Regions from separate parts of the Mus musculus genome. Here regions 2, 3, 4, 5 and 6 are each reported to be linked to region 1. The links are microRNA targets in miRTarBase. Many come from high-throughput screens and were not tested one by one. Region 1 holds a microRNA gene; each other region holds the end of a gene's coding sequence.
What was found. The annotated mature microRNA mmu-miR-466h-5p reads UGUGUGCAUGUGCUUGUGUGUA and lies in region 1 at 1,973-1,994, shown strand. An mRNA with a match to its seed (bases 2 to 7 or 8) in the 3' UTR can be bound and repressed. Matches are read on the target gene's strand: a 7mer-m8 pairs with bases 2 to 8, a 7mer-A1 pairs with bases 2 to 7 and ends in A, and an 8mer does both.

Region 1 (4,092 bases):
GACTTAGAGTTTTAGAGACTGCAGTAGTGGGACAGTGAATGGTCTCAGTCACCAGCTGTAAATGATTGACAAAGTCTGGAGAATCAGGATTTCAAATTCATGATTAACTTCAGTTAGAGATTATCCTGGTATTCCTGTGATGCCACCCATGTATGTGCATGTGTGTTTACATGTGTGTGCGTGTACATCTGTGTAAATGAATATATATATATATATATATATATACATATATATATATATATATATATATATATATATATATATATAACATAAACATACATGTATATGGACACACGTATGCACACATACACACAAGGAATGGAATTCATTGATATGTTTGAATGATATGTGATTTTGAGCTTTAAAGGTTATGTAGTACTGGTCAAATGAAAGTTTTTCTCACTATGTAAAAGCTTGCCATATTCAGAGGGGTCAGGAATTCATATTCATAAATAAATTCAAAAGAGAGTAGAGATCAGCCTGATTTTATGGGGTTCCCCACAATATATTTGCATGTGTGTATAGTTTTGTGTGCATGTGCATGTGTGTATATGAATATACATATACATCCACACAAACATATACAAGCATGCACAGATATACACACACACAGAAATGGCACCCATAGATCATTTTGAGTGACATGTGACATGTGACATGTGAGTTTTAGAGAGTATGCCGTGCTGGGCCAATGAATGCTCTCACTCACAAGGTAAAGACCCTTGCCAGATTCAGGATGATCAAGAGTGTAAATTCATGTTGGTTGCATGATGAGTTGGAGATCAGCCTGGCATTCATGTGATGGCTCCTGTGTATGTGCATGTGTGTTTGTGTGTGCGTACATGTACATGTGTGTATATGAATATGCATATACATGAGAGCATACATAGACACACGTGCATGTGCGCTTGCATGCGCGTGCGTGCACACACACACACACACACACAGAGGATATGTGATTTACAGTCTTATAGATTATGTAGTAGTGGGTAATGAATGGTCGCACTCATCATGTGTAAACAATTTGCAGATTCAAGAAGATCAGGAGTTCAAATTCATGCTTAACTTCAGCTGGACATCATCCTGGTATTCATGTGATGCCACCCGTGTATGTGCATGTGTGTTTACAGGTGTGTGCATGTGAATGTATATATATGAGTATACATGTACAGACACATGCAGCACACACACACACACGAATGCCACTCATTGATCCATTTGAATGATATGTCACTTAGCATATTAGAGATTATGCAGTACTTGGCCAGTGAGTGCTCTCATTCTCTAGGTGAAAATCCTTGCTAGAGTTAAGAGTATCCCGAGTTCAAATTCATACTTATCCTCATGAGAGATCAGCCTGTGATTCCTCCATGCATGTGCATGTGTGTATAGTTGTGTGTGCATGTTTATGTGTGTATTTGAATATACATAACATACACACACACGTATAAACACAAGCACACACACACAGACACAAGAATGACACTCATCAATCCATTTGAATGATAACTGACTTAAGAGTTTTAGAGATTATGCAATAGGGGACAGTGAATGGTTTCACTCACCAGGTGTAAATGATTGACAGAGTCAGGTTAATCAGGATTTCAAATTCATGCTTAACTTCAGTTATAGATCATTCATGTGATGCCACCCATTTATGTCGATGTGTGTTTTCGTGTGTGTGCATGTGGATGTATGTATATGATTTTGCATATACAGACACATGCACACACATGCGGCACACACACACACACACAAATGACACTCATCGATCCATTTGAATGATATGTCACTTAGAGTTTTAGAGATTATGCAGTTCTGGGACAGTGCGTGATCTCACTCTCCAGGTCAAAATGTATGCTGGAATCAGGAGTTTTAGGAGTTCAAATTCATGCTTAACTTCATGATGATTTTAAGATCAGCCTGTGATTCATGTGATTCTCAGCCATGTATGTCCATGTGTGTATATTTGTGTGTGCATGTGCTTGTGTGTATGTGAATATATATATCATACGCACGCACACACACACACAAATGCAAGCACATACACTCTCACACACAGAGGAATTGAATTCATCCATTAATTTGAATGCTATGTGACTTATTCTTTTAGAGATTATGCAGTAGTGGGACAGTGAACGGTCTCACTCGCCATGTGCAAACATATTACAGATTGAGCAGGGTCGGGAGTTCAAATTCATGCTTAACTTCAGCTGGACATCATCCTGGTATTCATGTGATGCCACCCGTGTATGTGCATGTGTGTTTACGTCCCTGTGTATGCACATGTGTGTATATAAATATACATACCATAAACATACATGTAAATGCAAGCACACAAACATGGAATGGCATTCATTGATACATTTGAATGATGTGTGACATAGAGCTTTAAAGATTATGTAGTATTGGGCTAATGAAACTTTTTACTCACAATGTGAAAAAGCTTCCCATATTCAGAAGGATTAGGAGTTCAAATTTATGAATAACTTCAAAATGGCTTAGAGATCAGCCTGGCTTTATGGGTTCCTTCCCAGTGTATGTTCATGTTGCATAGTTTTGTGTGCTAATGTATGTGTGCATATGAATATACATATAAATACACACAAACACATACACACAGGCACACACACACACACACACACACACACACACACATACACACACACACACACACACACACACACATACCCCGAATGGCACTCATTGATACTTTTAAATGACATGTGACTTAAAGTTTTAGAGATTATGCAGGGCTGGATCAGTGGGTGCTCTCACTCACAAGGTGAAAATGCTTGCCAGAGTCAGGAGGATCAGGAGTGGAAATTCATTCTCAAATTCATGAGTCCAGGATCAGCTTCGGATTCTAGTGATGCCCCCAGTGTATGTGCCTGTGTGTATATGTATGTGTGCATGTGCATGTGTGTATATGAATATACATATACATACACACATACCCATACAAACATGCACACAAACACACAGAAAATTGACACTCATCGATCCATTTCAATGATATGTGAGTCTTAGAGATTCTGTATGACTGGGCCACAGAGAGGTCTCACTCACCAGGTGACGCCCCTTGCCAGAGCCAGGATGATCAGGAGTGCAAATTCATGTTCACTGCATGATGAGGTAGAGATCAACCTGGCATTCATGTGATGACCCCTATGTATGTGCATGTGTGTTTGTGTGTACATGTACATGTATATATATATTGATATACATATAAATACATGCACACATATTCATGCATGCACACGCACACATTAATGGCACTCTTAGATCCATTTGAATAACATGTGACTTAGAGGTGAGAGATTATGCAGTACGGGGACAGTGAGTGTTCTCACTCATCAGGTGTAGACAACTGCCAGAGTCAGGTCTATCAGGAGCTTAAATGCATGCTTACACTCATGAGGACTTAGAGATCAGCCTGTGATTTATGTGATTCCCCCCATGCATGTGAACGTGTGTATAGTTGTGTGTGCATGTGTGTATATGAATATATATAACATCCACACATGTATAAATGCAAGCACAGAAACACACAAACATAGGAATGGTACTCATCGATCCATTTGAATGATATATGACTTAGAGTTTTAGAGATTATGCAGTAGAGGGACAGTGAATGGTCTCAATCACCAGGTGTAAATGATTGACAAAGTCAGGAGGATCAGGAGTTCAAACTCCATTTAGAGATCATCCTGGTATTCATTTGATGCCACCCATGTATGTGCACGTGTGCTTACATGTGTGTGCATGTTCATGAATGTATATGGATATGCATGTGCAGACACACACACACATGCAACACACACACAAACACATGGTGACTTGCATTCATCTACTTGCATAATATGTGACTAAGAGTTTTAAAGATTATGCAGTACTGTGCCCGTGCATGCTCTTACTCAACAGGTCAAAGTGCTTGCCAGAGTCAGGCCTTAAAGGTATGTGACTTAGAGTTTGAGAGATTATGCAGGGCTGGATCAGTGGGTGCTCTCACTCACAAGGTGAAAATGCTTGCCAGAGTCAGGAGGATCAGGAGTGGAAATTCATTCTCAAATTCATGATTAGGTAGGGATC
Region 2 (4,092 bases), not on the chromosome of region 1:
ACAGCTTGGTTTAGAACATGGCTCATGCCTAAAAGGCCCGCTGTGTAACAGAAACTGATGTGTGGGAGGGAGCCCCGGACTTTGATGCATCAGCAGACTGACTGACAACTGGGCTTCTAGCTCATCTTCTGATTACATGCATCAGGTATGTGTGAAGCTGCTTAGTATTAATATATTACTAATATACTCTCATTCTCTTTTCAGGAGCAATATGAATTCTGCTACAAAGTGGTACAAGATTTTATCGATATATTTTCTGATTATGCTAATTTCAAATGAAGATTCCTGCCTTAAAATATTTTTTAATTTAATGGTCAGTATATTTTGTAAAAAAAAAAAAAGAGATCATGTTAATTTATTTCCTAGTGGATATTAATATCCTTCCTAATTCCTTTGTATATATTTTGTTATGTTCTAAAGGCTACCTGCTGTAAGGTTATTAAATTGTAAATGCCCTTTTTAAAAATTGGAATAACATGTTAAGGTCAAATACTATCTGGAAAGATATATATTTCTGCTAACACCAGTCAGTATCTTAGTTCTATTAGATTCATGTTATGTGGTGTCCCACATCAGGTGTCACATGGTGTCACACATCATGCATCTGTAAATGTAGTTCTTAACATGTCAAATGTGTTTGTGAGAAGACACTAACCCCTGAAACCCCCTGTGGAGAAACCAGTAGAGGACTCCGAGTCAGAGCACATTTACTCTCCCCACCAACTGTCGCACCCAGGGCATCGGAATGTGGCAAACAGTGTGCATGGGGGCTTTGGTAGAGTCCTGGGTCTCAGCCATGTGGTCCATCCTTGCATTTGAAAGATCAGAGTGGAAGCAGACACGGCAGTGCATCACTGCACTGCTAGCACGTGGGAGGCTGGGGCATAAGGATTTGGTCCAGGTCAGGCCAGGCCAGCTTGGGCTACAGTGAGACTCTGTAACACAACAAACAACAAACACCCAGAGGGTTTTGAAACCCAAATCCAGGTCTCAGATGTACAAGGTGTAGATGGTGGTGACTTTCCTATGAGTTTTAAAAGGCATTCATGAGAGGCTGTGTAGTGCCACTGTAGGCTTGATAAAGAGATGTGTTATACCAGGCCATCTATTCTCACAGGCCTCCAGTACCCTCCAAACTAGCCATCTGAGCTGTGTTCCTGGAACCACTTGCTGCCTGCCTGTGTGCCTGGCTCAGAATCCACTCAAGCTCATTCCCAACGGCCCGCCCACTGACACAGCTGCCTGTACTGACCCTAATTGGGCCTACAGGCTCAACCACAGCTGCACACACACACACACACACACACACACACGGTAGAATGGCCACAAACTGTTGCACTGTCAATTTGCTGATACTCAACCACAGCTGCACACACACACACACACACACACACACACACACACACACACACACACACACACACGGTAGAATGGCCACAAACTGTTGCACTGTCAATTTGCTGATAGCCATTTCAGGATGTCAGATTTTCTTTGTAAAAAGTTAAGATGGTTTGTAAGAAAGGAATTCTTAAAAATCTAGATTTGTACAGTTTTTTTCTTAAATGTCCCACCTCTTGGTGTTTAATTTTTAAAAATGAGAGGGGGGGAAGATCCTAATCTAACTTACCTTTGGAGGAAAGGCTGCTGAGACCTCTGAGTTCAGGTGGCAGTGACAGGCGCACTGCCTGAGAGGGTAGGTTAGGAGGAGGGAGAGGAGGAGGAGGAATGTAGAAACATTGACTTCAATAAAAATTATCTTCCTATGGCATTTAGATACCTAGCAAATGAGCACAATGTAAAAAAAAAAAAAAAAAGACATCTGGTCTAACTCATTGAAGGCTTTGAACACAGTTTGGGAACTTTTTTTTTAAACTTTTTAAAAGAGAAATGAAAATACAAAGGCCTTATCTCCATGGAGGACTGATCATGCTCGCCTATTGCACAGTTTGTTCTTGTTCGTGTACAAGGGACAACCCCAGGGTCTGTCACTGCTTCATACAGGTGAACGGGTCACCACGCTTATCTCAAGCCCCGCAGCTCTGAGTGTCCCATCCAGAGGCACAAGCTGGCACTCAGCATGCAGGATGAAAGCAGACAGTGGCCACTGTCACCACCACCACCAGCTGCAGGCAGGGCTGGCTGCCTGTGCTTTGTGGGAGCTCCCCTTCTCTGAGCAGCCTTGGAGCACAGGCAGAAGATGGAAGATGGAGGAGCTTTCCCTGGCCAGTGGTCTCATTTGTCTCCATCTTAGACCCAAGCTCAACGCCTTGCTGTAACTGAAGCGGGACAGAGGGCAGTAAGCCCACTAGAATTAAGGTGACCTCACATGGGTCCCAAGCCAAAGTTCGGCCACGCACCTTGGCACCCCAACTTAGTTACTGGTCCTTAGAATCCCAGGCATCTCTTGTATCAAGAAATGCCTTAGGGTAGATCTTTTCAGGATGTCTAGAAAAGTATTCTAATGAGTGTTTTTCCTCACCTTGGGGCTGCCCCAGGTTCTCCTGCAGGCAGAGACCCTGCCTGTTTCTAAACAGCTTGTCTCATTCCAGAGAAAAACAGAAGCCACGCTCCTGTGGGCACAGTTGGGGCAGCACTTGTACTTTGGAGGGGCCAATCCCTCTAGTCTCTTGACTAATGCCATAGCAAAATTCAGCCTCCGTAAGACACAGAGCCTCTGTGTACAAGGGGTCTCCTAGGGGGAGGAGGGCGGTCTCAGCATCTTCTCTGTGTACCTGGCATGTCCTTTTCTTCTTCCTTCAAAGAAGCTCCGGTGTTTATGACACCGACAACCTTCTTAGTTCTCTGTTGCATGCGGTTGTGCTCAACGCCAAACAGTCATCAGAGCTGAGCGTTCTGATCAGGTGCGTCTCTTGGTCACTGTGTGACTTGCTTTACTCTCTCTCCATGGGCTGGATGAACGAGGAATGCACACCTGTGTTTTCCAAGGTAGTTTTATGTGTTTTTAAAACCTTTTTAAATGAGCCTGATACCTGTGTTTCAGCATTTGGCCACGTTGTTGGTTTTTGTTTTTCATGTATATTTACTGATATATTTTTGTTTGTAACCAAGTCATGTTTAATTTATGTGCAATCTTTATAATATGTGTATGTGTTATGGTTCCAACTCTCATATATTATTCCTTGATCACATTTATCGTTTGATCTTGCTCTGATTATGCCAGTGTATGTCGCTGAATTCTTGAGACATGTGAACTGCAAGATTGAAAACATCCGGATTCGAGAATAAATCTCTGACTACCAGCCTGTACCTGTGCTTCTGTCTTCCCATTTAAGTGTGTGTGTGTGTGTGTGTGTGTGTGTGTGTGCACAGAAACATGTGGAGGCCATAGGACAATGGTGAGTGTCAGCTTTAGGAATACTGCCCACCCTCTTTAAGAAAGGGATTTTCACTGGTCCGCAGCTGACCAACTGGGCAAGGCTGGCCAGCCAGTGAGCACCAGAGATTTTCTTATCTGAACTCCCCAGTGCTAGGATTACAGAAGTGTGACACTATTCCCATTTTCTTTATGAGGATTTGGGAGACTGAACTTGGTCCTCATGCTCACAAGCCAAACACTTTACCAAACAAACTATTCCAGTCCCACTGGAGGTCTTTAAAATGTAGGTCTGAGCCGGGCGGTGGTGGCGCACGCCTTTAATCCCAGCACTTGGGAGGCAGAGGCAGGCGGATTTCTGAGTTCAAGGCCAGCCTGGTCTACAAAGTGAGGTTCAAGACAGCCAGGGCTAAACAGAGAAAACCTGTCTCGGGGAAAAACAAAAACAAAAAACAATAAATAAATAAATAAAATAAAATGTAGGTCTGACTTGGCCCAGAAACAGCTTCTAAGGGGAGGTGAGCGCTGGAGCCAAAGAGGCATTAGGTCTTAATGGTCTATGGTAGGCAGGTATCATACAAGAGGCACAGACTTTGACTACCAGTTCAAAGAGTTCATGTTCTGTCAGGGTCCAGGGAGGACCAAGCCTGGAAAGCTGAGAAATTAGCTGTGATGAAGAGCCCGGAATGACTGAGGTGGAATCTTTGTCTGAGTCCTGGCCTGGAAGTTCCCTGTTCAGGACATCATATAAAATCTAG
Region 3 (4,092 bases), not on the chromosome of region 1:
AGCAACGAGGAAACTAATGGATAGATAGTAAAAATATGTGGTTATCTATAAGCGGGGGGGGGGGTTACTTGATATAAAAGCAAAATGGTTACTGTAGCTTAGAAAAAACATTAAGAAGTTTGCAATGATAAGTCAGTCACTTTTATGCTGTACTCCATAAAAATGAAGGCCCATGAAAAAATAAAGAGGACTTTTTTTTTCTCACGTGTGTGTGTGTGTGTGTGTGTGTGTGTGCGCGCGCGCACGCTCGTCTGAGTATATATGCACCATGTGCTTACAAGAACCATCAGGAACATAAGGAGTCAGACCACCCCGGAACTGGAGTTGCAGAGAGTTGGGAGTCTCCATGCGGGTGCTGGGAACAGAACCCTAGTCCTCCACATGAGTGCTCTTAACTGCTAAGCCGACTCTCAGTCCGATGATTCAGTCTCTGGCATGACTATGGTACACTGTACTGAGTATGCTAGGAAACTGGTGATTCAGCTATTGGTCTGCATGAGGTAAATACCACTGGGCAAACCCACAGCTCAGTCGTCGTGTAGAGAAGCCAGCTACCATTCCTACATACCAGCCTGAAATAACAATCTGAATTTTATTAAAGACAAAAATAAATCAAAAAAGCCTCCTTCAGTTACAGAGTATGCACAAGAATTTCTGCATTATATCATCTTACAAGAAATACCTGGACAGGAATAAAAGTAGATAGCTTTACTAGCTTGTGAATAGAGGAGTTGACTACACACACACACACACACACACACACACACACACACACACACACACACACAGGGAAGGAGGGAGAAACAAAACCACCTGTAATCTCTGGCTGCAGGAGGAGGGGGCCTTGGGAGAATGACAGAAATTTGAAGGAAAAAGACATTCGCTATTCAAAAAATACTTCAACAAAAAATAGCCAACCACTTGTAAATAACTCTAAGCAGATGTTTTCAGTATGGCAGTATGGTGCTCTTAACTGACTTACTCAACCTAGAGCATGGCTTTACTGCTGAGGAGGACTTCACTCCACATTGCACAACCTTGCTTCCTTTCCTGGAAATGGAAACAAAATGCCACTAGTGTCTGTGCAGGACTGTCTGGTTCTTGGACATCAATGTATAAACCTGTCTGCCTGTTTTCTACTTCACCCAAGAAGTGAGGCTTGAATAAATTGTAGAACAGGAATTAGTGACCATCTGGCTCCTTGGTATGTTGTTATTTGAAGGTTTTACAGGTTGAGACATTGAGCAAACTGGTATGGATTTCAAGTATGGATGGTGTGCTCACGTTCAGCGATAGTGGAGCTTTAAAAATGCATGTGAGTGTGCCAGTGCACCTACTTAAGGCTGTCCAGGACCACAGTGTCGGAAACCCCAAGGAGCTGAGCATACACAAGCAACCGAGTAACAATCTTTCAACACTGGTACCATGAGCAAATCCAGTGTTTTCTTCCATTTGCTTGTTTGAATACTTTCAAGTGACCAGGACAACAAAATTTCCTTTTAGTTGTAGGATGCAGACCTTGCAAAACAACTGGCTAGAAATGAGCTTGCATCCATGTAATGTGGAATCTCCTGGGAAGTCAAGATGCTTTCAGCATGCTGCACAGCAGAGACCATGGCTCTCCTGTGGAGTGCCAGATGTCTGCACAGGCAGCAGTGGCAGGCGGTGTTGGTCTTGGACTCAGACTACAGCTATCTTCTGTGTCAGTTTTATGTCACTACTAACGCTGAGCTCGGCACTCATGTCACCTAATAGAGTTTGAGGCTATCTATAATCTTTTTTATTTAAGTGAAAGAAGACATTTAGCTCCCAGGAGCTTTCTACTAACAGGTTTTGAGGAAGGCACATCTTGCTATAAACTCTCCCTTACCTTCACTGTATACAGAAGGGATTCATTATAAAACTCAGAGAGGAAAAAAATAACAGGAAAAAGGTTATCTGTCTTAGCCTTAAAGAACACCTTCGCTAGCTTCTCGTGCTCATCTGGAACAGAGCAGGAACATGCGAGATGTACATCTAAGTACCACAGCGATCATCTTTCCATTCCAAATGTTCTCTTTACAAACATGAACACTATAAAAGCGAAGCTGATGGCATCTAATTTAAAAGACATTCATGCACTGGTATCAAAATGTGTTAACATGGACTGAAAAAATAGATCTTAGGGATTTATTTTTTTAATGGCATTTTATTATTACCTTTAAGTTATTTTGAAGGTTGGTAGTAAACTTATTGTTAACAATATAAATATTCTCTTTGTAAGTGTTCAAATTCTCTTAAAAGCATGGGAAGGCAACAGACTCAGGAAAGGACTTCAGAGGAATCAAGTCCTCTGAGTAGCTACGAAAGTGGGTTTAATTTTCCTCCTTTGCCTTCCTTACTCGGGCCTCCTGATTAGCCTGCTGTGTTCCTTATTTGGTATAACAGACCGATAGCTCAGCTCAAGCCTCCTTTAGCTGGGCCAATGATTTGTGTCTCTATTATTTTTCAATTTTCTTCAAATATATCATAAAACAACTCAGTAATGGTTACAAGAAGGATCATTTAAGCTACATCATCATCTTTCAATTTCATCTGCTACTAATATTAAAAGTCAGAAAGGCTTCTGTTTTCACACAGAATTGAAAATCCATAGGGTGTAAAAAGAGCATGTCATTCATATTTCACAGACGATGCTCAACCTCACGAAAGTCAGTAAACTTGCTCTCCTTAAGCACAGCTGCCACCACTCACCTTTAATAGTAACAGGTGGGACTACAGTTAGTATTGATCCAGGATGTGTTGGCACAAACCCTGTCTTTGAACTCAGCCTCAACATTCTGTCCCTCTGTAATGTACCACAAGTTATTTTAATACCCTGTCTTTACATTGGAGCATACCATCTACTGGGAAAAAAATCAGATTTTTGAGATGAGCACTTTGAAGAAAATTCTTGAGGTCCCACCTTTTACTACAGAGAAAGGATGATGCCTGCACACAGTAGCCAGTGTGCTACCCCCTCCTGTTAGGTAGCTCACTCCAGGAGCATGCACATACAGCCAGGTTCACTTCATGTGCTCTGAAGCTGAGCACGCTCGCCTTCCCAAGCCACAGGTGCCATCATCTGCTGCAACACGACAGTGGATTTTATATCCACCATAAGAAGAAAGGTAACTGACATAACAAATGCAGCAAAGAGAGGCATTTGGCATTCAGAACACGCCAAAAAGCTAACACTCATGAACTGTTATAATGGTTTGTCTTCTCTTAAAAAAAGGTCTTTGCATATTTTAAAACGTAACGGTCCCAGAGAATCATGAAGTGCCTTGTCGTTTCTGCTGTTGGCTTCTGATGACCTCTAGTTGTTTTTTGCATTGCTGGTAATAAGTAGAAAGGCTTTTGTTTTCATCTAAAAGCTTTTTATGTTCCTGTACCAGACGAGATGTATTTTGCTGGTCCTTTTCATCCTGGTCCAATTCTGCAACTAGTTCTTGCCTATAAACAAATTACACAACAGACATTACACCCGATGGGAAGATGCACACCGGTAGCTGATGAAGGAAACTCAGCTAATTAGAACCTTTCTCCCTATCATTCTGCAGCTTAAGTATATTACTCCAATATGGTCCTAGGACAGAATAGAAACCTCCCACTCATCTATTGTAAACCCACAAGACAGCCCTTCATTAAGTACTTAAGCAATCAGTAAATCAGAGAAACACTGCACTAAGTTTCAGGAAATTTCATGTGGTGCCCTCCTTTCTTGGTAGGAAGAAAAGGAGGCTCAGTTCCAGAGACAGCACTGTGTCACAGTTCCTACTTCACAGCTATACGCCAAGGTCCTCCCATCCTTACTCTGCAGTCACAGGGCTACCTAACTGCAGCTCTAATGGAACAGCAGAAACAGTATTTGTAAAGATTTTTGGGAGACCCTCATTCTTACAGGCAGGTAAGCTTCAAGTTCCTTTACTTTGAGGACATTAAATGTTAGCCCTAAAGTGAGAGTACTGGGTGTAAATAAACAATAACGTCTTATCAAAAGGAACTTCTCAATAGTTACCATTTAAAGTAAGTACTGAGGCGGGTGACCGGTTAGTGGCAAGGCCTTGCCAC
Region 4 (4,092 bases), not on the chromosome of region 1:
TTTTCCCAGTTTCTAACAGTGCACATCTTTGTCTTGTGATGCTGTGTAGAATTTAAAACACTCTACTGAGAGTTTAGCAAAGGTAAGCAAACTGAAGAATGGTAAGTGGCAGTCAAGCACAGCCAGAATCCACTTTCCCACTGAGGTGTCTTAATTTGCCTGTGGCAATCAGGATGCACGGTGTACAGAAATTAAATAATCAGTGCTCACAAACCTAGTATCTTGTTTCAATTCTGAGCCAGCTCCACCAAGCTACCCTCTGCCCCACATGTATGCCACAGCATGTGTTAAACATGTCATGCACACACAATGAACACATTTTCAAAACAGGTAGATAACCCATGTTATACACTTGAATATGTACCATTTTTATTTACCAATTAATGTCTTTTCCTTTTGCAACTGAGTCTTCCTGTGTAGGCCAAACTCAAACTACAGTTGCCCCACCTCAACCTTCAAGGACTAATTAAAAGTGGGCATCATCACACTGGCCCAATTAACTACTTTAAAAATAGAAAATCAATGAAATATTTTAAAAATAAAAAGAGAAAGCTAATGGTAAGTAGCATGTCATGTGAATGCTAAAAAATCGAGTTTAGTGCTTGGTGAGTTATTTTTAAATGCTTCTGTTCTAGACATCATATTAAATCACTACAACAATATTAAACTTTTCCTTTGGTTGAGGGTGAACTGGCAGAAATGAGCCCTTTTATGTCTTACAAGTGAGATCTGGACATAAATGGAGCAGTCAAAAGAACAGTCTTAGAAATTATGACCAAAGAATCAGGCACTGCCAAGAGACCAGAATTCAAAAGAATACTGTAGTGCTCAAGAATCGTGTGGCCTAGCAGCTATGAAAATATGAAAGAAGGAAGGAGTTCTAATGAATTTATAACAAAACCAGCTATTATTTATCATTCTTTCTAAAGCTATGGTAAAAAAAATAGACAGAAAAATATGTGTAAGTAGAACATAAGACTAATTTAAAAGAATTATGAACTTAAATTATGATTTCATATTTTCTGCACAAGAACAAGTGATTGTTTTCTTCATTTCCGTAAGTCAGCCAAAGCAGAATCCAGGGGTGACCTGGACGATTTAGCCACCACACATTCAGAATTGAAAGCATTATCACAGTGTCGGCTTCTGATCTCTTAGGTGTCGGGAATGTTTGTCTTGCACGGTTGCTATGGAAACAGTTGTCATCAATGTGTGTTTTCAATAACAGTGGACACTGAGTCATCCTTTGTTAACTTGAAGGCCACTGGAGAATGTCATTCATGAGAACGCCCAGAGATAACAGCAAATACACGTTCTTGGATCCCCAGAACCAACCCTTGCACAGCGCTGGGTCAGAAGAGGGCTTTCATCAAATATTTGCTGTTGTAATCTCTTGAATCTACCAGGGCTCCTGCTCTCATTGGGTTGACAACCTGGTTGGTTTTCTTTTGAAGATTCAGAGCAGCATCAATGTCACAAACAACATGGTGCTGAGTCAGAAGTACTCTGCCCTTTCAAAAGTGAAATGTATGAAGCCCAGGCTAGGAAAGGTCTCCCCAGGTGACCACCACCTGTGTGGTCTACAGAGTGAGTTCAAGGCCAGCTGCGGCAAGTTAGGAAGCCTGTCTCAGAATAAAAAAGTAACATGAGTGCTGGGCCTATCAGTGGTAGAGCCTCTGGGTTCAACTCTCAGTGTCACAGGAAAAAAGAGAAGCGCATCCTGTCCCGACATGCGGTAAGGGAGGCAGTATAGACGAACATCATGTGCTATGCAAAGCACTCTAAGCAAGGATTTGTGAGGCAGAGAAATCCTTTATTGCCACGGGAAGCAAGTTCACTCATCTCTTCAACAGTTTTAGGAATCACAAAAATGCAGAATTCACACAATAAAGAATAACACAGACTTAGGGAGAAATGGTCCCTTGGGTTATATTGGCTGTAATACTGAGGTAACCAATTGACCTTGTTCAGTGGAAGTATCTTAAATGAAATGAAGAACACCCCACTAGTTATAACATCTAATTTATATATACCATTCAAATAAAAATATATATTATTTGCTTTAATGTATAGCAAGTTTAATACATTAGTGTTCACAAGATAAAAATTGTATTCTACTGAAAATTTGTGTGTGTGTGTGTGTGTGTGTGTGTGTGTGTGTGTGTGTGTGTGTGTGCTTCTTCTCTATCTCTAAGCTTGGAAGTCAGAAAAGTATGCTACTTAAGGAGACTTTCTTCTGGATTTAAAAATGCAGGTTCTAGGTCCAGGAGAGACAGATATATATCAGCTGGAAGACTACTGCATCTTTTATAACTTGCAATGTTAAAATCTACGAACTTGAACTGTAAGACATAGTTTTTTTGTTTTTCGTTTTTGTTTTTTTTTTTTTTTAAAAGAAAAAGGACCACAAAATTTCTCAAAATAGATTAAGGAACACAGGAAACGGTTCATGAAAGTATAGGGATAATATCCAGTGCTGTGGCTAATATTAAAAACTGAACATTCTATTTAAATGGTATCACACTAGCTCTACACACAGTGGACAGTGAGACCACAATAATCAACCTCACGGTAGAAACAGAGGCACATGGTCCCTAAGATAGTTTTTAGTGGGCAAGGTGCTATGGTCCAATAGAATCATCTAGGAAGGGAAAAGCCTTGTAGTTGTAGTAAAGCTGTTTACTGGTGTTTCTACTGTAGAACTCTTCTACAGATCAAATTGAAAAGTGACTATCTATGTGACTGCTTAGAGCCTGTGGTGGTGCACACATCTCACCTAACATCTGGCCAACAGATTTCAGTATAACAGATTAGGAACTCATATCTATAACAGCATGATCTAAAGCAGAACTGAAAACAAGACACACATTCCATGTCCATTCACCCACATCATCCATCATCTTTATCACATTTAGGGCTATCTTACTATGCCTTAATTTGTTTAACATATTCTGAAATATCAATGTTTTTAAGTCAAGGCTTTTACACAATAACCCATTTATTTCATGTCCTCTGTCCAACCTTTGTTACATCTTAAGCAGCTGCCATAAATATAGCCTACCTCATTTTGGGAATGTTACTCCAATTTTTAATTTGTGCATTGATTAAACCAATGAAGGTGACATTATTTAGCGACAGCTACATATTTCCTATTAATCAAAATCAATGTTATCAAGTATTAAACACACAGTCTTCTCCTTGGTGTAAATTGTGTATTTATCTTCCATCTTTCTCCAGTCACCTTGCCAATAACTACATTGCCCAGACTTTCTTTCTATGATTGCAAAAGTTCTAATTGCTGACGAGTAACATTTATGGCAAATACACTTAAAGTAGACAACAAAATTTCAAGTAAAATGAATGGTATCCACATCTATTAGACCACAAGGTATCAACACCTAGACTTGTTTCTATAAATTACAAAGACATGTTGTACATTCTTAAATAGTGAATGCCTACAATATTGAGCCTTTCCACACAAGCAGCTTACACAGGAAGGTAAGTGGTCAGTGTCTGTTACATTGCAATGCTCTCTTGATTCCCTCTTCTGTGGTTGTTGTTTTGTCCTGATGTCCACAGACTACTGTGTGGGTTCTTATGCTTTGGCTATGGTCTGTGAGCTGAATGAGGCAACACTGGTTATTAAGGCTTAATCTATGATGGAGCATTATCCTTGAATCTGGTGCCATTTCCAGAGAACAGTAGGAGCATCTCAGCTATCTTGAGTCTTCAGGCTCTGTTTTAATAACTTTCTTTTCCAAGGTGAATGCAGAGTGAGGATAGTCTTTTAGAATCCCAAGGCTCTCTACATAAAACAAAACCAGAAAGAGTTTGGAATTTGAAATCAGTGGACTACAACATCAAGTTATTAAACCCCAAACTTCCTAGCAAACATTAACTATTCATAATTATGAAATTCCAGATGGAATTTTATTTAGTTGTTAAAAGCATGGGTTATCGCAACATGGTAGTGATGTATTTCCAGGACTCAGGGACGTTGAGGCAGGAGGTCTACTTCAAGTTCCAGGTCAACTTGGGCTATGGGCAGAGTACCCAGCCAGCCAGGGTCACACAGCAAGAACCCATTTCATG
Region 5 (4,092 bases), not on the chromosome of region 1:
ATATGTAATTTCCACGGGGACCAGATACAGCAAATGTCATATACAAGTGCAAACTGGATTTAAGCTGTTCATCTTTTTCTTTTCTTTTCTAGCCTGTCTGTTTTCAAAGTCATTCCCTAGAGACATGATTTGCCCTGTGATGGTTAGACAGTGTTTATTTTTACTCTTGCATAAAGCTAGATCCAGCCGAGTAGTGACTACTGATAGCCGACAGCTACTGGAGTAGAGAGAGTCTGGGGTTTGTTTGTTTGTTTGTTTGTTTTATTTTCATGTCTCTGGTGGGTGGTCCCTATTCCAGTGGTAAATGGGCCCAATGGGTTAAAAAAGACAAGAGAGCATGAAGTCTGGAGAGGGTATGTCGGAGGGATCTGGAACAGAGGAAGAAATCGATAAATGAATGTGACCGAAGCACACGTATATCGTATGCACGGATGAATTTTTTTCAGACTACACAGACATTTGCACGTGGAGGTTATGGTCCCTCTGTCCCTCCATTCTGTCTCCAGGAGATGTGTTTCACTTATGACATGGCTGCAGAGCCAACAGCCGTCAAGTTTGAAGTTCATGAGGGAAAGGGGGTGACAAGGGAGAGTGAAGAGATGCATGCCTGCTAAATCTGCCTCTATAAAAGTGAAAGTCACACCGAGAGACTTGCACTGATAACAACATGACCCAGAATGCAGCTATTTAATACCATCTGTGACCCGAGCTCCCCTCCCACCAGAGGAAAGGGAAACTGAGGGGCACTGTTGCATGGTCTCACCTGAGCACACTGCTGCCCCAATTAGGAATTTGTTTGTGAGGGGAAAAAAACAAAACAAAACAATGAAGAGGACCTTTGTTAAATACCCACCTTACCATTTCATCATGGAGACTAAGTACATTTTGCACAAAGCCAGTCTGTGCTGTTCATAGAAGTGACTGTCTCTTTAGGTGTGGCTGCTCCACACACTGGTAAGAGCCCCATAACAGTGTCTCATGAATTATAGGAGGCACCATTTTCAGTTTGGGGAAGCAGAATCGACATTTACAGGGAGCAGAGGGATGTACACAGCATTTGCACCAGTCTAAGATCTTTATTAAGTAAGCCATCAGGCGTGTCAAAGCATGTTATAAATCTGCACAGAAGATGAGAGATGCATGGGACCACACGTTTCACTCTGTGTATGAACACACAGTGCACCAGAATCTGTTTAATCAGAGACCTGTGATCCCTGACCACCGCCACCCCATTCTGATCTTGTCATAGGAGGACAGAGCAAAGGAAGCCTGGTGCACTGGATTGTACCTGCCTTGAAGGAAAACAAATTTAAACTGGTGGAGAAAGCATGGTTAGAGCGATGTTTTCCAGCCTTGGAAAGGGTAATATTCTAATTTAGACAAGTAATTCCTGCTAAAAAATTCGAATTTTCTCTGTGTGTCTGTCTCACCCACCTCACCCCACCGTGTGTGTGTGCGTGTGTGTGTGTGTGTGTGTGTGTGTGTGTGTGTGTGTGTGTGTGTGCATGCCAGATGTGTGGGTGTATAAATACATGGCTCTATGGTTTAACTAATGGATTCTCCATTCCCAAGTATTGCAGGTTAAACATGATTTAGGTTTCAGATATTAAGAAGTCCAGGACAGTTTTTAACATGCCCCATGAACAGATAGATCTCTTATTTATATGACAGCAGGAACGAAAGATTTATCTACACATGTGCATTAGAAAAGTTACACTGTATTCTGTATTGATCCTGGGTAACAAGGGAGAGGTAAAGAAAGAAAGGGAGTGGGAGAAAAAAAATAACAGAAAAAAAGAAGAAAAAGAGACCCCTTAGAATATCTATTTATTTGACTTAGCTTGGAAGTCTTGAATTGTGTGATTCAGTTCAGTGTGCCTATGGGATTAAATTTAAGTGTGTGTGTGTGTGTGTGTGTGTGTGTGTGTGTGTGTGTGTGTGTGTGTGAGAGAGAGAGAGAGAGAGAGAGAGAGAATAAGAGGAAGAGAGAGAAAGAAGGCACCAAAAGAATCAAAATGTGTTTGTGCTTAAATTCAATACCAGCCATATAATGTCCTCCTTCCTAGCTCAGCAACAGTGGGAAAAAATTGCTCCAGTGATGCCAAGCCATGGCTAATAATTCCTCAGTTTATAAAGCTTACGGTCTCTGTGGCTGGGTTCGTGCTAAAAAGGAATCAGCAATTAACTTAATCCTTTAATGTGAAGACAGAGAATAAACATGCATCTCTTGTCCTAAAATTTAAGCAGCCCCATAATATTCAGTTTATTCCTCTTATTTACAATCAAATCAACATCATTGTTGACAAAAGTATTCAGACCTGCAACTCAGGTCACCATACATACTGTGATCCTCTGCCTTCAGGAAAGGTTCTATCTCTTTGAATTCTCCTCAACCCACACTGTAGCCTCTCAGGATCAGGAATCAAGAGCATCTAGCATCTCTTCTCCAAAGGTCTGAGGATGCACACAGCTGCTGCCCACTCCTGCATCCCACCTTGCCTCTTCACAAATGCTTGAGCACAGTGGGATTATGAGCACAGGAACCTTCTCCAGGGAGCACACAGAAAGGCCACCGCCTCCCTTCTGCTCCCCAGTGACTCGGTTGAACCAAGGTATTTAAGAGAGAAATACTAATTTACGTAATGATGTCCCTTTTCTTCTGTCACATGGTTGGTTCTGGCTTCCAGCATTCACTAATAACACTTTAGGCAAGCATCTCTGACTTGATAGCATTTTCACTTTCCTAAAGCCACACCTCTGTCTGCAAGATACTATGAGAGGCAAATGTGGTAAACTCAAACTTCACTTGGTTTTACTTTCTCATCTCAGTGTTTCTGAGCGGAGGCATATTTCACCTGCTGTGCTTAGGTGATACAATACGGTTATAAGTTCTCATTCCATAATTAATTTATTTTTATATGCAAATATTTAGCTTATCTGCTTCTCTATATTTATCTGGTTTAACAGCCTCTTTTTCCCCCACTCCTAAATATTTCACCTTCAAGAGGAGACACAGGTATATGCAATAATGAGATTAATTGTAATCAATTAAGCTTCATAATCACTTCCCTAATACAAACTCTACTGCCAAAGCCAAATTTTAATATTGTAAAATTGTGGATTTTTTAGATAATAATTCACCAAGTTTAACCTGCTCTGCTTTCTATTCCTGTCCCAAATCACAGAACTAACACTTTGTTAAAAATCATGCTTACAGCTTCTGGCCCTTAGATAAGGGTCGGAGAGGAGGGCTACATCTGGGATTCCATGGAGATCCTATTTAAAGTCAGGAGGGCTTTCTGATAGGGCATCTCCTTACATTCATCTTGTGGGGACAGGACGGTCTCCTCTGGGTTCTCACAGCTGCTCACCACGGCAACTGCGCTGAAGGACCGCCTCCTGGTGTTGGTGTCAGAATTGCAGGATCCTCGGGCAGGGGACGTTTTCTCCAAGTTGTTGAGTTGTTGGTCCTTCCAGTCCAGTTGTTTGGCACTGCAAAAGGGGGCGTAGACTTCCACGCTTCCTTCAAACTGCAAGCAGTTCACCTTGTAGTACTTTCTCTTCACTTCCAATACATCATGAAACCTGTGGCCCCAGAGAATTTCTCTGGGGATGTAGGAACTTCTGGACTGGTGGGATGTCCCAGTGGAATCACCAGTATAAATAAATGTCACCAGAATCTCGAAATTATCTTTGGCCACTGCCTTGCGGTCAAGGGCATACAGAGGGCTCTCATGGTCAATTTCATGGACAATAGTCACTGGAGTTACCAGGATTATCTGGTCATTGACGAGTTTGAGGTCTTTAAACGCCATCGTCATCCTCCCTTCACTGTCTTCTGAATAGCGCAGAAGTTGGGCTCTCACCGTGCCCTCTACCACATGGTTTGGTCGGAAGTCACCTATGCGCCACATGAGGCAAAGCTTCCCGTCTCTCATACCAATGAGGGCAAAATAGCTGAAGCGTATGGTCTGGGCTCTCTTCCGGGCAGTTGCCATCTTTGCCAAGGCTGCTCCAATGATGAAGGTGTTTATGATGCAGCTGAGGATGGACTGAAGGATCACTGTCAGTACAGCCACAGAGCACTCTTCG
Region 6 (4,092 bases), not on the chromosome of region 1:
TTCATCATAGTGGCTGACCGAAGCAATAACAGAATCCAGGTGTTTAAGCCCTGTGGTTCCTTCCACCACAAGTTTGGTACCCTTGGGTCTCGTCCTGGGCAGTTTGACCGACCGGCTGGGGTGGCTTGTGACGCCTCCCGCAGGATCATAGTGGCCGACAAAGACAATCATCGCATTCAGATCTTCACCTTCGAGGGCCAGTTCCTTCTTAAGTTTGGTGAGAAAGGCACCAAGAACGGGCAGTTTAACTACCCGTGGGATGTAGCAGTGAATTCTGAGGGCAAGATCCTCGTTTCAGACACCCGGAATCATCGCATCCAGTTGTTCGGACCGGACGGGGTCTTCCTGAACAAGTACGGCTTCGAGGGATCTCTCTGGAAGCACTTCGACTCTCCACGGGGCGTGGCTTTCAACAATGAAGGTCACCTGGTAGTCACCGACTTCAACAACCACCGGCTTCTGGTTATTCACCCTGATTGCCAATCTGCCCGCTTCTTGGGTTCGGAGGGCTCGGGCAATGGGCAGTTCCTGCGACCACAGGGTGTGGCTGTGGACCAGGAAGGGAGAATCATCGTAGCCGATTCCAGAAATCACCGCGTGCAGATGTTTGAGGCCAATGGCAGCTTCCTGTGCAAGTTTGGTGCTCAAGGGAGTGGCTTCGGGCAGATGGACCGCCCCTCAGGTATCGCGGTCACCCCGGATGGATTGATCGTCGTGGTGGACTTTGGCAACAATCGAATCCTCATCTTCTAATTGTGTCTTCTGGGGTTTTCTGTGTTTAGGGTGTGCATGTGTGTGTCTCTCATTTTTGAATTTCAAAGAAGAAATCGTCTCAGGGATATTTCTTTTTCTTTTTCCCCCCCTTTATTTTTATTATTTTTTTTTTTTTAAGAACAAAAGTACAACATTGCCTAAGTCCTACCTCAGCTTAAATTTTTTTTTTTTTTTTTTTTTTACAGATGAATGTAATTCTCCTCTGTGCAGGGCTTGAGCCTGTGAAGTGATAATTTCTATCTACCTCAACTCTTTGCATTTCCCTCTCTGGCAAGCCTCTTGGCTCACATCCTCTTCCCTCCTGAAGGCCTAGGAGGCACAGGACAGCGGTCCTGCAACCTTGAGGGCACTGGAAGCATATGGTGGGGTGCATGCATTTTGTAGATTGAGCCAAGGAAACCCAAAAACTACTAAGTAAAAAAGAGAAGTATAAGATGTTGGAAAGATAGGATTTAAAATTCATAATTGTAGTGTATTTGTGTTCTTGAGAATACTGTGTTTATGTGGGGTTAGGTTGTGTGTGGTTTGCTCTTTTCTTTTTTATCGATGCAACAGGGCTTTTCTCTGTTTACCTCAGTGTGTCTGACATCTCATCCCTAGGAGATATGGCTGTGGCTTGCTAGCCTAGAAAAGCAGACCATTCATATTTTCGGGTGTCTCATCTTTGTATCTGGTAAAGAAGGGTGGGTGTGTGGGAGTGTGTGTGTGCACACGCGTGCATGTTTGTGTTTCAAAGCCATCTTTGCTTGAGGAGAAAAGCTGGACTTGACACAAGACATCCCAAGCAAATTTCTTCCCAGTTTGCTAAGAAACTCGATTTAGCTCAGGACTCTAGGTTGAAAGTGTTCGCAAAGGTTACGTGTCTGTGTTTTTGTTGTTTGTTATAAAGACTTAGGTATAAGAAAATAAGTTAACCTTGTTCTCAGAGAGAGAGGGGCTTTTCAGATGTGGACCAGGGTGCCACAGAAGTGGGGGGTGCTGGAGAAGTGAGGCACCCCCACATCAGGGACTGTTCAGGAGGGCGGGGGACCTCGTCTCTATGTGTGAGGGTGTGGTAGGCAAAGGGATAGCTTTGATTTGAGAAGCACAATGTTTTTTCCTGCTTTGGAAGTTCAGGGAATGTAGAAGATTGTCTGACTGGTGGGAGCACCTCACTCCCTAACCCTTGGCTCAGGTCTGTTTCTCAGGAACCTTCCCTAAGTCTGAGTGGAGGCAGACCTCAAGGTTAACACAAAGCCCCGTTCCTCCCCCAAAGGCCTTTGAATGTAAAGGATTTACAAACCAAACCACCCAACAGGAAGTGTAGGACACAGTATATGTCTTTTTTTTTTTTTAATTTTATTTTATTTAAAAAAAGAAAAAAAAAAAAGAAAAAAACCTGTACCAAAGAATAGAAACTTGGGGGCCTGTGGCTCCCATCCCATTGAAGTCTGATGTATTGTAAGCCACAGAGTGGGCCTTCTTGACATTCACCTCTGAGAATGAGGGCCCATCCCGGTTCTCTGGTTCTCTGTATTCTCACTACTGAGCTCAGACCAGATTTGAAAGAGGACAGAAGACTGCCCAACATAGATCTAAAACCCAGTTTCTGACCCCCATTGCACGGCAGGAACTCCACAGAGGAAGAGGCGGTGGGGACAGGATAAGGGCTCAGTCGAATTGCTTTGGGATGCTCAGTTTGCCTGTGTGAGCTACGACGTTCCTTCACATTCACATGACTTGAATTTCAGGATTTCGGGGTGATCTGAGTGTGGCGGCGGGTGCTGGGGGGCGGGGGGCCGTCTCAGCAGGGAGAATAGTACACAATCAAGGAATCCCGAAGGTAGCTTCAACTGCTGATCTCCATGTTTCTCGGGATGTGAAAGAGGGTTACAAGCTCCTTTTAAAATTTAATAGTGGGTCCTTCCCCAGTTTATATATCCCTTTAGCCTTTATTATGTCACTTAAGCGTTAAACTGATTTTTAAAAATTTTGTAGAACAGGACAACCCAGGAGGCCTCACCCCGCCCCCCCCCCGCTCCCCCCCCCCCCCAATCTTAAACTGCCTTTAAACACTCAATAGAACTAGCTTTACATTCTTAATGACACTAATTGAACAAATGAATCTTGACAACCTTCTCAGAAACCTGATTTTAATTGTGGCTGGGGAAAGCCGATTTTCAATGCTAAATTGAAGTCATGTTCAGTGTTCCTCCTCACAGCTCTCCTGTGGCAGGAATATTGACTGACTGACTGTTCAGTGAGAACTTTTTTTCTGGTGACTAACAAAATACTTGACATTTTACTTAGGATCTGATAACTCGGCCCAGGTTCCCATCTTGTGGTTGGGTCTTGATCAGTACATGGATAGACCAGTGTGGGCTTAGAGCACAGCAGATGTGTTCTTAGAGGTCTGTGGCTTTCTATATCCAGATCAGTGTAAGGGCTGGCTTCTAAGGAATTGTGATCATAGTTGGAGAACTTTTGTTTTTAAAACAAGTGGCTTATTGTGGCCGCCTGAGATTGGACTCCTAGCCGGTGGGGGAATTGGTGCTAAGCACTTTGGAGAGTGTACCTTGATATGGACTGATCCATATCATGACACCAGCCATGTTTGGTGAGCACCTGCAGCCAGTTCTGAGGTACGACAGGAAAGAGATTCAGGAAGGAGACACCGTGGGTGCTGGCTGGCCGGAAACCTTCTGTCACTGCGGTGAGCGACTGACGGGTAGCGGTCCCTGGTCAGGTGGCAGGGGCTGGCAGGAACTGGCAGGAGCTGGCAGGAGCTGGTGAGGGTGGGTACCAGGAGATTCCCATTGGAAGTGAAGTTTCTTAAGTTTGAGTATTAACCACCTGGTTGCCACCTGCCTAACATTCCAAAACTATAATCATCTGAAGGTCATCACCAATCTATCACTTTTGTTCATGAGAAGTCTCCAAACCTGTACTCCGTTATGGCTGGCAGGTAACTCCTTATCTTGGTTTGAGCCTAGTAGTCTAGGCTGTTCCCCTAGTGCACTAAACTTCCTCCAATCAATACCCTTGTTAAGTCTAACTTACCTGGGGAAGCACACAAGGGTACCCTAAACAGAACTGGACAGTGTTGGGCCATAGAGGCTGCCGGGATGAAGACACTTTGGATGGTCCAGAGTGTCTCGGTGTAGTTAAGCCAAAGCTTAATCATTTGAGTTGGGAAGTCTTTTAAGCTTGAAGCAGCACAATTACTGTCTTGTCTGTGTGTCTTCTTGGGTTTGGAAGATTCTAAGGTTGCTGTGTTCTGGTAGGTATTAAAAGGAATGCCAAAGTTCTAGGCTTGTTTTCCCTGTTGTTTAAGACGTG

Region 2: the mRNA of Ptpre is a reported target of mmu-miR-466h-5p. Seed matches in the 3' UTR shown: 8mer at 1,283-1,290, 8mer at 1,368-1,375 and 7mer-m8 at 2,926-2,932.
Region 3: the mRNA of Map3k7 is a reported target of mmu-miR-466h-5p. Seed matches in the 3' UTR shown: 7mer-A1 at 229-235.
Region 4: the mRNA of Nab1 is a reported target of mmu-miR-466h-5p. Seed matches in the 3' UTR shown: 7mer-A1 at 2,171-2,177.
Region 5: miRTarBase lists Kcnj16 as a target of mmu-miR-466h-5p. Seed matches in the 3' UTR shown: 8mer at 1,499-1,506 and 7mer-A1 at 1,451-1,457.
Region 6: the mRNA of Trim71 is a reported target of mmu-miR-466h-5p. Seed matches in the 3' UTR shown: 7mer-m8 at 1,481-1,487.

What each region holds. Positions count from the first base shown.
Region 1 is chr2:10,512,929-10,517,020 of GRCm38, forward strand. Mir466h (microRNA 466h) reads left to right here and starts at 1,963; the gene lies at 1,963-2,043. The region is part of intron 10 of Sfmbt2 (Scm-like with four mbt domains 2); the gene reads left to right. Mir669m-2 (microRNA 669m-2) reads left to right here and starts at 506; the gene lies at 506-603. It overlaps Mir466n (microRNA 466n), which reads left to right and starts at 813; the gene lies at 813-906. It also overlaps Mir669o, Mir466g, Mir297a-3 and Mir466l.
Region 2 is chr7:135,683,028-135,687,119 of GRCm38, forward strand. Ptpre (protein tyrosine phosphatase, receptor type, E) reads left to right here. Exons shown (of 21, transcript NM_011212.3): 21 at 205-3,267. The coding sequence ends at 279. Among named protein-coding and RNA genes, the nearest start is that of Mki67, 31 kb to the right of the region's middle.
Region 3 is chr4:32,018,883-32,022,974 of GRCm38, reverse strand. It overlaps Map3k7 (mitogen-activated protein kinase kinase kinase 7), which reads right to left. Exons shown (of 16, transcript NM_172688.3): 16 at 1-3,474. The coding sequence ends at 3,294. Among named protein-coding and RNA genes, the nearest start is that of Map3k7, 57 kb to the right of the region's middle.
Region 4 is chr1:52,455,502-52,459,593 of GRCm38, forward strand. Nab1 (Ngfi-A binding protein 1) reads right to left here. Exons shown (of 8, transcript NM_008667.3): 8 at 348-3,805. The coding sequence ends at 3,717. Among named protein-coding and RNA genes, the nearest start is that of Gm23460, 13 kb to the left of the region's middle.
Region 5 is chr11:111,024,933-111,029,024 of GRCm38, reverse strand. It overlaps Kcnj16 (potassium inwardly-rectifying channel, subfamily J, member 16), which reads right to left. Exons shown (of 2, transcript NM_001252209.2): 2 at 1,057-4,092. The coding sequence ends at 3,252. Among named protein-coding and RNA genes, the nearest start is that of Kcnj16, 29 kb to the right of the region's middle.
Region 6 is chr9:114,509,306-114,513,397 of GRCm38, reverse strand. Trim71 (tripartite motif-containing 71) reads left to right here. Exons shown (of 4, transcript NM_001042503.2): 4 at 1-2,130. The coding sequence ends at 753. Among named protein-coding and RNA genes, the nearest start is that of Ccr4, 15 kb to the right of the region's middle.